2 linked regions of the Drosophila melanogaster genome follow. The protein of the gene in region 2 interacts with the protein of the main gene of each other region in a pairwise test. Each region holds a gene or a part of one and is shown on either strand. Other genes may lie near its edges.

The links. Proteins that work in one complex are often made in the same cells at the same time.
Region 1: the proteins of CG34267 (region 2) and CG9825 interact in a two-hybrid assay, tested with the Drosophila melanogaster proteins (one large-scale study listed by BioGRID).

The regions. Positions count from the first base shown.
Region 1 is NT_033778.4:22,835,807-22,839,827, reverse strand, and holds CG9825 (uncharacterized protein), read right to left. Parts: upstream 2,468-4,021; 5' UTR 2,393-2,467; coding exon 2,371-2,392; intron 2,107-2,370; coding exon 1,970-2,106; intron 1,913-1,969; coding exon 839-1,912; intron 772-838; coding exon 547-771; 3' UTR 537-546; downstream 1-536. Other genes in the region: CG12490 (uncharacterized protein), read right to left, coding at 3,281-3,487, 3,569-4,021.
Region 2 is NT_037436.4:499,496-502,442, reverse strand, and holds CG34267 (uncharacterized protein), read left to right. Parts: upstream 1-1,991; 5' UTR 1,992-2,069; coding exon 2,070-2,081; intron 2,082-2,144; coding exon 2,145-2,366; 3' UTR 2,367-2,429; downstream 2,430-2,947. Other genes in the region: CG34268 (uncharacterized protein), read right to left, coding at 1,104-1,343, 1,407-1,418.

The DNA.
Region 1 (4,021 bases), on a different chromosome or scaffold from region 2:
TCACTTACTAAAGTTATAGGTCGCGCCTTAAATTTTTGTTCCAAAGAAACCATAAAGGTGTGTACCATTTAGTGATACTGTGGGCATTGCCAATTTTTTTTATCACAAATCATATGGCGAGAAGTGCAATGACGAGATCGTTGTACGTAAGATAATATTTTTAGGTCTTCGCAAACGGCATCTTAAAAATGAACTGCAGAACTAAATGCTCTATAATTCAGTCTACTAGCGACGGTAACTAAGGGAATTTTAAACACAAGAATATGTCTATATTTTCGAGCAATCAAAACAATAATAGCTGACTAGCTCTTGAGACTGCGGACTTGTAATTAAAAATATTTAGTGATGTCGCCCTCAATGGCATTTTCAAAATATCAAGAATAACTCAATTTGAGTGTCAGTTATAGATAAAAGAATCGTTTGCTATCTCTCTACCAAGTTATGATTTTTAGACCACTAAAGTGAACAAATAAAAACCAAATGCTAAAATGTAAATTTGGTTATCCAGACTAGTCTAAAAAATAAATGCGTTAAATGGGTTAAGAATTAATGGCTTTTACTATTAATTTTCTCTTTGGAATTTTCGTTAATTGGAAAGGATAACGCCTGCATAGGTGGTCTATTGGCAAGTTCCGGGTTCTGTGTCTGCAGATAGTCCTCGGCATCCCAGGGCTGAGTTTCGGCCGTGCCAAACACCAAGTAAATGCAATTGCCCACAAAGAAGATTACGGAGGCAATGATGAACACGATCTGCCATTGGGAGCGATCAGACTGAAAGGAAAGGATACAATAAGCAATTAAAAATCTTTACTTCCTACCAACTTTTGCAAGCACTCACATTTTCCTTAACAATCCATCCAACAACTAAAGGAGTGACTATGGGCACGAAATTCGCCGCTGTATTCACAATTCCCATTAGAATGCTAGCGTGATTTTTCGATAGATCAATTGTGTTTAAAACACTGCCAATGGTTTGAGCACTATTCACGCCCACACTGATGGTCATCAGAGCAATCGCGAAGTTCTTTTGTTCCTTGTCCAAAAAGCCAATGCCCACCAAAGTGGCAGCAGGAATCCAGAAGGCAATGGAGTTGTAGGTCTTTCTCAAAATCGTCAAGGACACCGAGTTCTTGCCCAAGAGCACATCGGCTACGACTAGGTAAATATACGACATGCACCACATGGCCAAGAATGGGAGTGCCGAGAAGAACGCATTGCTCTTCATGTCCATGTCGAGGACTCCGTTCATATAGGATGGGATCTCGGCCTGCAGAGTGCTCAGTCCCCAGTTCTCAGCGCATCGTACTATGAGCAGGGCCAGGAATGGTGCCGACGTCCAAATTGCCTTCCAGGGAATGGGTATAATGGTAGCGTGGTATGACTCATTGTGCTTTAGAGACGACTCAATATAGATCAGTTCGTTCTCTCCTATGAAACGAGATTCCGTAGGATGGTTGGCAGCGAAGACGAACCATAATGTACACCAGAAGAAGGCCACTCCAGCCGAGACATATGAGATTCCGGGCCATCCCAGGGAGCTCTTGGCTATCATTCCGCTCAGGAACATGGCACTCACATTGCCGCACTCGATTCCAGTGTGACTCAGAGCTCCCAACCGATTTCTTTCCTCGGGCGGTGACCATTTAGCCAGGTGCTGATGAATGCAGGGGAATACCACTCCCTGGGCCAATCCCATTAGAACTCGAATTCCACAGTAGGCCTGCCATTCTCCAAATCCGATGAACAGCGGCGTCAAAGCACTGCAGACACCAGATCCGAAGACACCCCAAAACATTACACTCTTGACTCCAAAGCGCTTGCAGAGATAACCTCCAAGGAATTGCGTTAGGATGTAGCCCCAAAAGAAACTGGAGAGAATGTACGACTTCTCTGCCTCCGTCCAATCGTATTCCTAGTAGAGAATCTAGTAAGCTAAGTGGTATTTTCTTGATAGGATCCCTATTCTTACCGGAAAGTTCGGGTTCGTGGTTTCCGCATTGGTCATTGCCACCACAGACACGCCCACATTTAGGCGGCCTATGAATACGGTAGTTATATTGAGGAAGATCAGTAGCGCCTGGACATGCCTCATTCCCAGAACGGGTCCTGCAATAACAAAACGAACTGGTATTATCACTGTTACTTCCTGTCTACAAACAGTTGGGTAAATAAGTCTGAATTGCTCTTGAGACTCGGTTATCGCGCCATTATTGTAGTAATTTATGACCACTCAATGCGTGTGCGAAAAGCCCAGAAATCAGACGGAGTGCAAGGTCTGAGCCATGAAGGGGTTTTCCACTGTGTCAAGTTCGTTGGGTGTCAATTCATTCACAAACTCTTATCCGAACCGAAGGATTTCCTTTCACGCACCTTTGTTTGTCTCGGCCGTCATTTTTGATTTGGTCAACAAAACACCTCCTGACTTCTTTTAAACGACCGATCGGAATCACTGTGGGAAGTTAAGTGAGTGAGACCACGAACATAGAGTGGATTTAAATCCAAATTGAATTAGACGATAAGCCAAATGTTGCTTATCTGATACGACACGTCAGGTGATAAGGTCATACAGCGGGCGAATTTAACCATTGAATTAAAAAGCGTCATTAAAAAATTGTTGTACTTTACAAACTAGTTATTATGTCATTAGTCAGAATATTGTAAATCAATCAATAAATCATTATTTTCATCCATTTCTACAATTCTAGTAAGGATTCTGGCACGATTCGGTAAAAGATAGATGCCACATAAGCAACATGGCCTAAAATGTTAGCGCCAAAAAGAATGCATTGCTTTTTCATGGCCATATCGAGAACCCTTTTTCGAATAGGTGGGCATTTCGGCCTTCAGGTTACTTAGTCAAGAAAGAAGCCAAGGTTTTGCACCTTTAATAGTTAATTTTAGATATCTTGACGAAAATATCCTACCTGCAGTTCCTTTTCTACTGTTAAACGAGGTTGTTTAGAACAGCATTGCCTGGTCGTGTGGCGTTCCAAAATCAATTGGTAATATCAAGAGTAGTTACTGCCATACCATTATTGGATTGATTTATGGCCGCACCTTTGGTAAATTTGACGACTTTTGATAAGCAAATAACGCTCAAACATTTTAATTCAAACAAATCGTTTTACTTATACGTTTAATAAACAAATGAAATGTACTGATGTAGATCTTAAATCTTATTAAATTTAATAATAATACTCTAAATTATTTTGATTGCTTTGTTGTTTTAAATAGTTTCTATGTTAACTGAAGACTTAAGTGCTATCGATAGAACTTCAATTCAAGGACTTCGTGGAAGGTCATCAATACCTTTACCAGCTTCATGGATAGCTGGAACTTTAGCTAGCTCTGGCACCTTTACTGTGAGGTAGTCTTCAGCATCCCAGGGTTGTGAAACAGCCGTTCCAAAGTATAGGTACACCGAGTTTCCGACAAAAAAAAGTACTGCCGCAATTATGAACACTATCTGCCACTCAGCACGGTTATCCTGAAACAATCAACAGAAAGTCTTCTTATTTATACTTATTTATCACTGCCCTGTTTATAAACACTAACAGTGCAAACTTACGTCTTCATGAACAATAACTCCAACAATCAAAGGGGTTACTATAGGCACTACAGTAACAGCCGTATTCAAGATTCCCATTAGAATACTCGCATGATTCGGGGATAGATCTATGGTGTTCAAGGAGCTTCCGATTGTTGCTCCACTGTTGACACCGACACTGATGGTCATCAAAGCAATTGCCAGGTTCTTCTGCTCCTGATCCAGGAATCCGATTCCAATCAAAGTGGCACAAGGAATCCAGAAGGCCAACGAGTTGAAGGTCTTCCGGAGGGCCGTTAAACTCAGCCTGTTTCCGGCGAGCAGAACATCGGCGATTATCAGGTACACATACGACATAATCCACATGGCCAGAAATGGTAATGCCGAAAAGAATGCATTGCTTTTCATGTCCATATCCAGAACTCCGTTCATATAAGTTGGGATTTGGGCCTGGAGGGTGCTCAGACCCCAGGT
Region 2 (2,947 bases):
GAAGCGGATCAAATGATTTCGTCATAATCGAGCAGCAAATTACTATTTTTTCCCCCTAATAGAGTAATAAAATTGCCCAACTCTGGCCGAGAAATTTACTTTAAACTGAAAAGGAAGTGGAACCTGAATGGTAGCAGCAGGCTGAAAAACAAAGCTGAAACTGAAAATCGAAACCGAAATGAAATGTGGGGAAAATTAAGAAGAAAACGCTAACAATAAATCTTTTGGCAATAGAAAAAACAAAACCTGCCACAAAAAAGGCCCAAAAAGCCTGTTCACAAAATTGACTTTCGAACACAATTTATTTTTATATTTTTGTCTGCTTATTTCGATGTTATTTTTTTTTTTTGTTTTACCAAATCGCTTGAGAGTTTTTCTAGCCAGCGATTTAATAACCCGAATAAAGCCCCAAATAAAAAACAATGAAAAATTAATGTACGATCCATTCAGGTTCATCATCGACACGAGATCGAACCGCAACCGGGGAAAAAGCCAAAGGGAAAGGCGGCTGGCTCAGAGTGTTTGAAGCGGGCTGTAAGGCTTTGCTTTGTCGCCACTTTAATTGGCTCAAATTAAAGACGAGCTGGGATTGGGTTTTAATGGCAACGTCTGTCGGGTAAGGGGTGGTGGGAGGGGGGGAGGTGGAGAAGATGCAGCTGCAGTTTAGAGGCGTCACTTTATTCCGCTGATTAATGAAGAAATTTCCCCTGGAAGCTTGCCGCCTTGTTAACGACTTTATGTGTGACTATTCGCAAATAACAAAATGAGCGAGGTGAAATTAAATTTTACAAAATGTCCCATAAAATAATCAGTCAGCCATGGAAACCACTGGGGTCTGCGGACAACTTTAGTTGCTATAAAATGTGTAAAATGGAAAGTGCTGACCACGAAAGGGTGTTGGGTACGTAATTTTTACGAGAATTATTTCCTTGATGTAGGAAAAAACATGCATCATTTAATTGTAAGTATAAAAATTAAGCCAGTCCCGATGGCATGACCCAAAAGTTTATCCTCGCTCTATACCAGAAAATAAAGATAAGTTCGATTTGGTTGGCAATTTATTTATGTCGGGTCAATTTCTAATGGGGTTGTGCTACAATAATTTAACCATGGTAGATGTGGTGTCCATAGGTGGGAACAGCGTAGGACTTCAGCACAGGGACATGCTGAACCACTGGGACATTTTTCACCACCGGAACATGCTGCACCACTGGAACATGCTTCACCACCGGAACAGATTTCACCACGGGCACCACCTGGGCCACAGGAACCACTCCGTAGGAGGGCTCAATGTAACCAGGAGCAGCAAAAGCCATTGCTACCAGGGCGAAGATTACAGCGATCTAAGGAGATATTTTGTAATATGAAAAATCCTAAGGATTTACTTTATAATTTCGTGAACTTACAATGCGGAACATTTTGGTATTTTGTTGTGAGTTAAAAACTTTAACTTGTGGTTATCGAACGTTTGTGTTAGCCGGACGACTGTTGTTGATTGACCATCCGTGGAATCATTATATATAGTAGTTAGCACCTCAGCCGAAAATAGCCCACAAATGACTTCTGTTCGAACGCCACGCGCCAAACCAGTTTAATTATCTTAAATTTGGTATCTTCGAATAATGCGCATTCTATTTGGTATGAAACCATCTCCAGCGGCGAACTTCCCGTTATCGGTCGTTATTGCTTAACCTTTGGACATAATCCCCATTCAATGACTTCTCAATTGTTTGCTGTTTTTAGATCCGTGTGCTTATTATTGTTTACTTCCAAGACCATTGTCATTATATCGATCGTCTTCACGCGTTTGTGATGATCACCAAGAACCAAGGTCATGTCCACAAAAAAAGACCTATATGAGGCACCTTTGGGTCAACTGATAAATCCATTCTCTCAATTAAACAGAAGAATTATGGCCAAACACGTTTGCCCATTTAGAAGTTGTTATTGAAGTGATTTTTGGCTATATAAAGTAACTGATCCATTGGTCAGCATCACCAGTCGTCCTACAAGCATCCAAGTGACAATATCTCCAAGTCAAGTTTGTAAATTACTAAGAAAATACCAAAATGTTCCGCATTGTAAGTTCACGAAATTATAAAGTAAATCCTTGTGATTTTTCATATTACAAAATATCTCCTTAGATCGCTGTGATCTTCGCCCTGGTAGCAATGGCTTTTGCTGCTCCTGGTTACATTGAGCCCTCCTACGGTGTGGTTCCTGTAGCCCAAGTGGTGCCCGTGGTGAAATCTGTTCCAGTGGTGCAGCACGTTCCGGTGGTGAAGAATGTCCCAGTGGTTCAGCATGTCCCTGTGCTGAAGTCCTACGCTGTTCCCACCTATGGACACCACATCTACCACGGTTAAATTTTGGAAAGAGCTCAATCGATATCGCACGGGAATAAATAAAATGTTTATGCTTGTAAAAGGAATCATATTTGACTTACTTGTCTCAAATCAAATGCACTTCAAATGAGTTTACAACTTCTGTGATTTATTCGCAGTATTTGCAGTGTGTGCGGATTATTTTCTCATGTCCCGCCGAGTTTTTGTATCCAACAACCCATTAAGAGCTGCAACAGAATTTTCTTCGGTCTGGTCCGATCGGAAATTTTTACGCAAGCCGTAAATGCGCCAAAATCTGGAACACAAATACGTTTTTCTCTGTTTTCGCGTTAGGGGCTTTGTAGTTTATTTGGTGCGGATCGAGTGATAAAAGCCAAATGTGCGCCTCGTTCCAGGCACCCAAAAGATACGGAGATTGAGCAGTTGCGTGGAACACATTTGGCAGGCTGTTCGCTGGTGAATTGACTCTTTGCACCGACTGAAGGTGATTAATGGACGCCAAGAGGAGCGGAGCGGAGTGGAGTTCAGTTGCGAAGAGTTGAGAGTAGCCGTACGATACTTCTTAAACGGTAGTTAAAATCTAACTAACACGCGAGAGAAAG